Linked DNA regions of Nothobranchius furzeri. Each later gene encodes a partner of the first gene's protein in a complex. Links are inferred from orthologs where the notes say so. Each region holds a gene or a part of one and is shown on either strand. Other genes may lie near its edges.

Region 1 (5,307 bases):
AGTTCAGTTTAAGATCCTAAGAAACTAAAATGGTCAAAATGGGTCATTTGTTCCAAATAAGTTAAAAACACACCAAGTGCTTGTTAACGTTTAACTACCTGATTCCAGACGACGTGAATGTGACGAGGAAGCAATGAGAACATCTGTAAAAGAAGCTTTTATTTTGAAAAATCAGATGTTTTGGCCAAACATTGTTCACCAAGTGTCTAAACTCCATCCTCAAAGGTTTTTGGCAGAAACATCTGTAAAAACATCTGTGCAGCTAATTTTCAATGACATGTTTGTTTATAGAGAAAAATATATAAAGTATCAGATAAAAAAGATCGATTTAAAAATCTAGTTTTCGAGTAATCTGTCGCTAACAAACCTGATTAAACCCTGACAAGCTGTCCAGCAGTTGCACTGGTCCAGCCTGTTGTATTTTGTATATAGCTGATTGTTCTGGTGATAACATCTTGTATATAATGTACTGCCTTATTTATAGATACATTGTCAAAAGTATGCAGCTTTGACTGACTGAATGTCTTACTCGTCAAGCAGCCTTCATAATCCGTCCGTATATTCCACGTCTCTGTGCCAGTGTGGGCTAGATATAAATGTATTCCATGATTACAACGTTTAAGTGCTTTTTTACAGAACGCTCTGCTGTTTCACGTGATTTCTGGATGACTTGTTGATTTGATCTGACGGCTTGAACAGATTAAAAACGTGTTCTGGTTTAAATCAAGCGTCTTTTCTTCTCTTTGGGTTTTTGTTTAGCTCTGTCTGCATGGGCAGCGGTCCGATAGATCTTTTTTGTGTCACAGGACAGATTGTGAGCTCCCTTCTTGTGGCAGACGATGTGGACCAGTTTCAGGTTTTCCCTGGTGAACAGCATCAGGTAGAAGTAGTTCAGGTTGATGTCAGAGCTGCTGTGATTCTGCAGAGCTTCCAGCAGACTGGGTATAATTGTCCTCCTCTTCTCAATTCTGAGAAAGCAAACACGCGAGCATCACAGGTTATTGTAAAGAAGAAAAGCATTAAAATGTGGTTTCAGCGGTAAATGTTGACCTGTGGTCAAGGTTCCAAGTGCTGAAGACGATCCTGCTCTCCCGGCTGCCGTAGGGGTTGATGGAGTGGAGCGACTGGCACAGCTTCACGTCAAATGATCCCTGAGGAGACCGAAGAGGAAGGATGAAGATCCATTTCTTTCCCAACAGCATGACGAGTCCTTAATTCAAACGTGACTCTTTGAACTTGTCACCTGGCAGGTGAACCATCCTTCACGAGTGCAGAGGCGCTCCGGCTCCTTTTCGGTCCTATCGAAGTAGCTGCCGTTGTACCTGGCGCTTTTCAGCATCTCCAACAGGCACTTGGATGCTTTTAAAAACTCTGCCTTGACTTTGGCTTTCTGTATGGATCTGGTTGCATCGTCCAGCTAATAAAAAGGCAGAAGGCATGGACGTAATTTTGGGGGGGGGACGGGGGGACATGTCCCCCCGACCTTTTCCAAAATCAAGTTTTGACCCCTGCACCTTTTACCATCCAAAAACAATATTACGCTATATTAAATTGACACTGGTTGAGCTCTTAAGACCAAGCGTAAAACAGCCGTTTGTGTTGAAACCTGTTTACCATTAGAGTATACTGTAAAGATCCCCCCCCCCCCCCGTGCCCCCCCCACTTCTCAAGTGAAAATTACGTCCATGGCAGAAGGTAACACTGAATATCAAACGCACAACAAACGAGGTAAAATCTGCAGAAGTCGACCTCTTTCATGTAGCCCCGTATCCTGCTTTCACAGTTGAACTTCATGTAGGCAGATTTTGTTTTGAATCGAGTGTCAACACCTAAAGAAATGATCAAAAAACAAAGTTCAGCTAAATGTTTAAGTCTCATGTAAATGTTCTGCAAAACCACAGAAAAAGTTACTTTTTTAACAATCGTTTGAGAAATAATCGCATTATTTCACAGCCAGAGTCCACGTATTAACTTAAAACAACAAATAAAAATGTCTAAATGACGATTGTCTCGTAGACCTAATGACTGTACCACTGAACCAGTCTGCATCCTCCTCTCTGCTCTCCAGCTCAGACCTGTCCTCCAGGTTCTGCAGCAGGTCACTCAGGATTTTACGTCTCTTTGAAGAGTTTTCATCAGACAGAAGTCCTTTTGCGGCTTGGATCAGGGCATCAGCATGTCTGTCTGTGTTCAGTAACTGACCGATGTCACACATGACTAGAACAAAAGCAAGAGGGTGATCAGGACACGGCAAAATAAAAATCAGAGGAAAATAATTAAGCACCTCCTGTCCACGTCTGCTGTTTTGACAGAAGAACTAATTCACTGTTATCTGGCAGGGTGGAGAAGAACTCCTCGGTCACTATTGTCCCATCCTCGTATAAACAAACACGAGCACCAGAGAGCGGCAGCTGGAACGGTGGAGAACATAGAAATGGTATTCAACTTAACTGCATGCAACAATTTCCTTAAAATATACTTTTTTCTGCTTTGACCTTATTTACAACCTTCATAATAGTATTTTATGCCCATATGCATCCCTCTGTGTGAAACAGAAGTACTAAAGGACAGGACACAAACCACAGGAGCCATGTTTTCTGGTTCTGTATAGGTATACTAAATTAAAAACGATTAATTTCTGACCCAAAAAGCACAAAAACTCCTTAGTTAATTTCCTTTTGAGATAACTGAGTTTCTAATCTGTAAATAATTTCAATTCTGAGACAAAATAACATAGTTATTATATAAGTCAAAGTTAAGACCTATTTTGGGACGTTTTCATTATTTTCTGCACTTTGCGCTGAGGGTTTCACTTCCTGGTCTGATTCAGAACTGTCTGCAAGCATTAAATTAATTTAAACGAATTAGTGTCTAAATAACCTGCCCATGACCTAATAATAGGGTAAATTGTAACGTGTAACTACCTATTTAAAACGTTACTCTTTTTATTTTTCACGTACTTGCAGAAGCATAAAAGGGAACAAGCGACCCACCTGTAATAAATTGCAGCCCTTTTTAAGCAGCTCCTTTAGATCTTTCGCTGCAATGCCGTATTTCAGGTTTCCACCGAAACCTCTAATTTTCACAGGTTTGTTTTTCCCAGAGACCCCAAACATGATTGTTTATAGTTTGTATATACCGCTTCCGTTGTTGTTTTTTCTTTCTCTTTGGTCCTAACGAGTCAGCGGCGGCGCTTTGCTGTCCTCTAGTGGTGGTTTGTATAAATAAATATGACACAAACCAAATTTTAATAATAATTAGAAAAAACGACTTCTAGAAGTACGTTCTTGCCTTTTGAAACATTCCAGTGAGATTTATAAATTTAGTAACATCACTGAGGATTTTAAAATAAGCGTTTTAGTTCAGATATTAGCCAAATATTTTAATAATTTGATTCATTTGGTTAAAAAAAATCAGGTAATCATCCGAAAGGGCAAAAAATAAAAAATAAAACTATTTGAAAAATATTGACAATAAGTAACATATTTGTGATTTTACGTGCAACACCATCGTGTAGTTTGACTTCCGAATATTACCATAGCAACTGATGCTGCACCCTGGAACATACCAAATCGCAGGTTTAATTAATTCACAACAGCTATTGTACAGATTCTTTAAAACCTTATATCTATGGTTTTACAAATTGTTTGTAAAAAGTACAGAGGCGTATGGATAACTAACGCTACGCACGTTTTCGTTTTCTTGCTAAAGCGTTTACTTAAACCAAAGATTTGTCGGCCCCCCCTCCTAACTGAATCGTACAACCCAAATTCAACATGGCGGTCGAATGGTTGAAAATCCAAATATATGGCAAAAACAACGTACTTTAACTCGTTCTTTCTTGGTTTTTATTATTCCCTTCCTTTTTATTGATTTAGTTTTGTTTTATCTGGAGAATATGGTTGAAACAGAAGACAATTCCAGCACCGAGGACGGCTGGGAAGATGTGTTTATGAGAAACCGGTTTGTTCCCCCGTGCAGCCAGGCAGTCCGACTGGCTGTGGAGAACCACTCCACCACGTCCCGGGGCTTCCAGCTCCGCCTCAACCGCCTGACAACAGCTCATCTCCCGCAGGTTAATCACCGCTCACACAGTAATGGTCCGGTTCATGGTCCGGGTTTCAGCAAACCTCACATACCAAGTTATCCGTTACATAATAAAGCACAAATAAATTCAGTATTTCGTTTTGTTTAAATTTGTTTATGTGAAGGTTTTATAGCTAAGGTGACCCAGTGTTTACATAGCACTTCTATTATGTCAAATTATGAATGCATTCTTTGTTTAGGTGCTTTTGTATTGGTGAGTTTGCCGCTTGAACTAAAATATAAATAAAAGCTGATCATGTTAAGCAAAGTGTTTATGTTTTAAACTCAAATACATGTTTATAGTGGTTAGGGCAACTTTTACCAGATCTTCTCTTTTTGGTCACAGGAAGTGTCGGCGGGAGAAGATGTGACCTTCCAGCTACGGGCGACACTGTTTGATAGGAAGCATCAGCACTTCTTTGGGAAAACATGGAAGAGTTTGCCCCAAAAGATTAAAAACAACAAGATTCCCTTCAACGAGGTAACTTTTCCAAACAGCGCCAAAGTCTTTTCTCTCTCAGGCTCTGAGGCTACAGTTATGAGCTCCTCTGAAGCCGTTGTCGTAAGCAGTGAGTCGATGATTATTTAGTAAAATCAATCCTTATTTAAACCTTGATTAAATTGATTTAGTGGAGCCATTATTTAATCAACCCCTTCTCAAATGACTGATAAATCAGCCCTCAATGAATTAGCACTTAGGACTGGACTGTGTTCTGCGATATTCTCAAGAGTGTTGTCAGCCCAAATTAAACAAAACAAAACCCTGAAGTGATTCCCAACAAGGCATCCCAGTTGCATTCTGCAGCTTCCATATTATAAACACTTTCTCGCTCTTATTTGCTGAAGCCAAAGGAGCAGAACTTGTGAGAGTTGTCTTTGAGAAGAATAAAAAGCATTTGGTATAATCTTTGTAAGCTCTCTTTTCGATGGCCAGCTTTTCTTATGAGGTTAAATCACTGACACGTCTAAAATGACATCTAAATAAAATAAACGTACTCAGTGGAAAATGTGTGATGAAATGTTTTTATGCTAAAATGGCATTAAAATACAAAACAGTGCTCCATCTCGTCATTCAGATGAGTTGTCTAATAGGTTTAAGCAGAGATTCCTCTTAAATTAATTATTTTGTTACCTAAAAATGGTGATCAGACATTTTATATGTCAGAGGAGATGGCAACAAAACCACCAGATCTGATTCTACAAAATTCAGTCATTAGGAAT
Region 2 (4,895 bases), about 5.0 Mb from region 1:
ACTGCTCCGATGTGGTTTCACTCTAAGTGTTCAGCCAAGATGGGGCCAATTCCACAGGAGATAAGCACACCACGAATCCCATTAGCCAGCGGTTGAAAATACCCAGCAGCCCCATGTCGCCAATGAGGCTCAGAGCTTGTGTGTCTGCTATTCTGTCACTCATGCACAAACTGGCGTAGGAAGGAGAAAGATTCAGACCTGTAAAAGCACCAGAGACTATTTTATTACAAAAAAAATGCCTCTTTGATCAGTTGGCATGTGACAGAAACACCTTTTAATCACAATGCCTACCTTCTGAACCAGTTTAACACTACTTTTGTTGGATCTGGGCAGAAATTTGACTTAAAAAAACAAAACTCTGGGTAATCATGCTTACTGGATACAAAATACAAATGGCTAACAAGCCTAACACTGAAAAGCCCATTTTAAAGTTGCACTATGTCGAAATGAAGTAAAAATGACATCCTGTGGTAAAATGTGGTTACTGCAACCACTTTTCGAGCTTTTGATGGATTTTTTCAGAAATCAATGGTAAAAACGACACATTGTCTCTTTAAGACCATCATTTGTGTTGATTTGTTCAAGAGTGTAAGAAAGCTACCTCGTGTGTGAGTCACACGGACCTGCACACATCAGTCTGACATCACACAGCCACCAGACCGATGCATAACTTTTATAATGGGATGTAAGAGATGGTTTTAAAGAGAACTCGTGCAGAAACAGCATTATCCTGCTGTGACTTGTTTTTTTTTTTTGAGTTTTTTCCAAAAGTCCTTATTAGTCACACATCTTCCACCCTGAGGTTTGCATCTGTGAAACATTTGAATGAAAACAGTGCCTCTTTCTAATTGACACTGCAGAAAAATATGTTTATAGCGGTTTAGAAACAGAAAACTGCCAAGAGTTTAAAGTTTACAGGAAATAAGATATTTGAATCTGATTTATATGTTTCACTTTTCCCTAAACTATCCTGAATAATTTAGAGTTTAATATCACATGCAAATTATTCCCAAAAGAAACCAAATCATCTCATTTGCTTGATATCCAAAAATCCCTTTCAGCTACTCTAAGGTATCTTTTTCACCTATTTTCAAACGTTCCACTATAAGACGTTTGCACATCTAAAAATGATTATTAGACCCTGGATACATCACATTTTCAACTTTTATTTTTGAACAGTGACTTGACACACCTAGATAAAAAGAATTGGCTTAAGAAAGATGGAATGCATTTGCTGGAGAACCTGGGCTGCAGTGTTGTTACCTTTGGACCAAGAAAAGCTATGTTTCACACCTTAAGGGACACCGGAACTCTCTGCCTGCTGGTTTAAGTTTTACATAAATTCTTTCTTCTGTAGACGACAAACATCAAATAAAAGCCCGCTGAACACCAATCCAAGTGGTTCAAATCATCTTGCTTGAAATAAATTTCTATAACTTGCCTCGTCTCGAAGCACTCAAAAAGCTTTGCAGCTTTAAAAAAAATATCAACATCTCAAAATGAATGTACAGCAGCAGTAATACACAGCAAATCCCATTCTGCTGACCCTGAGGCAGGTAGTATGAATTCTTATCAGTCTCGGCTCAGGTGAAGCCTCTTGGCCTAGGAGCTCCCTGGAGTTTCAGCAGCCTCCTCTGTGTTTGTTGCATTAGGCTGTCTGCTGCCATCCAGCTGCGTGTTGCTGATGGACTGCATGGCCTGAATCTGCTGCAGGCGTGTGGACAGTTCTGCTTTGCAGGCCTGCAGCAGCACAGTGGTCCTCTCCGAGTCCCAGCCCAGCACCTGCCGCATGACTTCCGGTCCTTTCGACATGACCATCTAAGCAGAAAAATGAGATATTTTTAATCCTGGAAACATGGGACGTGTGAGACTTCATCTGACTCATAAAAGTAGGGGAACATGTTCCAAACTGATGCTAAAACGTTGGAAAATTATAAATCAGAGCTTTGCAGAAGAAGGAGCTTGAAATGTGTCGTGATTTGCAGCGTTAGCTCATATTTACGCGTCGACTTGCTGACATTTTGTTAGGTGGTCTGATATCGAGTGCACAGCTCAGGTGTGAACACACTCCAAACACACAGAACTGATCACTCATACCACATCAGCGTGTGTGCAGAAATGTTCAGGGGCAGCGTTAAGTACGGTTCGCTCGTCTGACATACCGCCTGGTGGATAATAACCTGTTTGAGCTGCAGCGGGTCACTCACTCCTGACCATTAGTCATCTATTTCCCATCATGCTTTTGGTCAAATCTGCAAGTAAAACTAAAAGCATGTACATTGTGTTAAATCACAGGTTGGGCTGCAGCAGCACCAGAAATGACTTGGAGGTAATTGCAGGTAGCGGATGGGTTCCGGTAACGACTTGTGTTTGAGTACATAGAAGAGTGTTGACAGAACCAGACCCAGAAGAGAACTCTGACATTTGGTCTTTGCAAACAGAAATGCTGAAGGATTGATTTAAACATAAAGTGAGGGTGAGGGTGTGAGATCACTTGGGGTGTATTTTAATGGTAACGGTGTGAAGTGATGTACTTCTAGTTGTAAACACGTCAGTTAAGATGCTGTGGGGTGGGAAGAGGGCGAGAACCACAGCGTAAGACTCGCATCAGGACCGACGTAAGACCGTTATGGAATATAGGCCAGTCCTGACAGAAGATTGCTGCTCAGATCTATTAAAATCAGTTTCATCTACTTCTTTATTATTGGTGACGAGGATCGTTGATGAGTGAAACACCTGCAAATCCTCGGTGGAGAGTCTGGTCTCCGGGCTTGTTTTCCCTTTCAGGACCATCAGAGTTCTGGACATGAATCCAGAAACAGAGTCCACTTCCACTCCGTCCGGCACGTCCACGTCGACAGGACCTGACATATTGAAAACAGGTTTTCTCTCAGGGATTAATGATTGTAAATCCGTAAAAGTTGTGGGATTACTGAGCAGCAACAATGATTCCATCTAGTGACCAAAAGGTGCAATTGCAGTTCACTCCAAAAACCAATGAAGCGTGAAATATGTTCAATACGATTCAGCGAATGATCTCACCTAATTAATATTTCATTGAAATGAAAAGTTACATCTTATTCCTTTTTGGATTAATCCATTTATTTAAATTTGAAATATAAATATAACTTTAAGATAAAACAAAAACATTTTTACTCCTAATTTCTGCCTCTACCTGGAGCAGTTTTCTAGCCTAGTGAACTAGACCAAATTCTTGCTTTGCAAAGAATGGTCTAGGCATGCTCCATTGGAACCTCAACAGCTCCTACCAGGACTCTGGCTAGCCAATCACAACTCTCTAGAGGGATTTCAAACACATAAAGAGCTGTGATTGGTCCGTAATCGTGGGCCAATCATAGTGCTCTATCTGCTTAGTGAACAAATCACAGAGCTTTGTCCGCTTTGTGGGCCAATCAGAGCACTCTATATGCCTGGTGGGTGGGATGATGCAACAGAGTGAAACAAGAGTATGTCACATTCTTTGTCCAGTGGAATGCGGAGATCATTTGAAAGACAACGGTAGAACCCGCCCCACAACCGAGAGCCGTCAATGGAGCGTGGCCAGACTAAATAATACATTTATTTAGTCTGGCTTGCCAGGCTAGCAGTTTTCAGCATAAATAGCCCAATTGATGATTGACCAATCAGAAACACACACACACACACACACACACACACACACACACACACACACACACACACACACACACACACACACACACACACACACACACACACGTCTGTCTTTCTATCATAGGGAGGACCCTCCACTGACTTCCATTCATTTTTGTGACTCCACTGTGCCTAACCCATACCCTAACCCTAACCCTGACCAATGCTGATCTACTCCTAACCCCAACCTTAACTAAAACTTAGTTCACACCATAGATCTAAAACCAACTGGTAAGCTTCTAAAAAAAGTGAGGACTCAAAAAAATTGAAAATGTCTTCAAATTGTAGGGAAAATGGTCCTCAGCATGTAGTACACACACATACACACACACACACACACACACACACACACACACACACACACACACACACACACACACACACACACACACACACACACACACACACACACACACACACACACACACACACACACACACACCCTTTTTATTATAGTTTTCTGAAATAAATGGAGATCTGCTACCGCTGCAATTGCTTCAACTCTCAAAACCAAAATCGTTGCATCTCTACAGAAATACATTTTTAAATTTCATATTAATATTACAATCGGTAAATAAAAATGTTTCGAAAGCAGCAAATAACAGTGAACAGTTTTATTATAGAGATTCAACAGCCACATAAGCTTGTGATTCTTTACTGATTCAGTCAGAAAACTAAAAAAAAAAAAAAAAATAAACAAATCCTAGATTAAGTTTCTGTTAAGAAAATGGCTGTATCTAAAATCATTTAAAAAAATAGTTCAATTGTCTTCATTAAAAAAATACACAAGAGTCTTAAAGCAAAGCCAAAGACTGTAAGAACTTTTGTGGATTTGTGGTAAAAAATAGATTTTTACAATAACTATTTTCTAAAGCGTACTACTAAATAAACATGACCACATAATAACAGTCATACCTTGATGGCTCGGCCCTTCCTGCAGCCTGTCTTCCTTCTCCACAGCTTTGACGTACAGCTGGAGCAGAGCTTTGGACTGCCTCTCTTCCTCTTTTCGATCCAAAGTCCTCTGCAGTGTCTCTTGGAGCTCTTCAGCCTTTTTGTCTTGGAAGCCCAAAGCAGAGGCAAGTTGAGAGCAAGGAGCATCCACTAAAGACTGGAAATACAGATTAAACAACACATACATGAAGCAGCTCCCTATAAACACATTTAATTGTGTGAAATGATCATTTATAACCATTTAAACCAGGGGTGTCAAACTCAAACTC

What was found. Proteins that work in one complex are often made in the same cells at the same time.
Region 2: the proteins of dffb (region 1) and dffa are in contact, whole or in part, in an NMR structure (PDB 1F2R), measured with the Mus musculus proteins. The link is inferred for Nothobranchius furzeri from reciprocal best matches to the Homo sapiens genes DFFB and DFFA. Residues at the interface, in NP_031885.3 of Mus musculus: Cys10, Lys12, Arg14, Ala19, Cys20, Lys21, Phe22, Gly23, Val24, Ala25, Ala26, Arg39; in NP_001020467.1 of Mus musculus: Asp66, Thr68, Ile69, Val70, Asp71, Asp72, Asp74, Tyr75, Trp94, Tyr96, Asp100.

Annotation. Positions count from the first base shown.
Region 1 is NC_091755.1:34,775,647-34,780,953, forward strand, and holds dffb (DNA fragmentation factor subunit beta), read right to left. Parts: upstream 3,184-5,307; 5' UTR 3,117-3,183; coding exon 2,994-3,116; intron 2,412-2,993; coding exon 2,285-2,411; intron 2,218-2,284; coding exon 2,032-2,217; intron 1,830-2,031; coding exon 1,750-1,829; intron 1,418-1,749; coding exon 1,244-1,417; intron 1,152-1,243; coding exon 1,051-1,151; intron 969-1,050; coding exon 719-968; 3' UTR 138-718; downstream 1-137. Other genes in the region: nphp4 (nephrocystin-4), read left to right, coding at 3,788-4,075, 4,433-4,567. UniProt on the Homo sapiens protein: Nuclease that induces DNA fragmentation and chromatin condensation during apoptosis. Degrades naked DNA and induces apoptotic morphology.
Region 2 is NC_091755.1:29,727,825-29,732,719, reverse strand, and holds the end of dffa (DNA fragmentation factor subunit alpha), read right to left. Parts: intron 4,784-4,895; coding exon 4,588-4,783; intron 2,865-4,587; coding exon 2,737-2,864; intron 1,819-2,736; coding exon 1,603-1,818; 3' UTR 1,147-1,602; downstream 1-1,146. UniProt on the Homo sapiens protein: Inhibitor of the caspase-activated DNase (DFF40).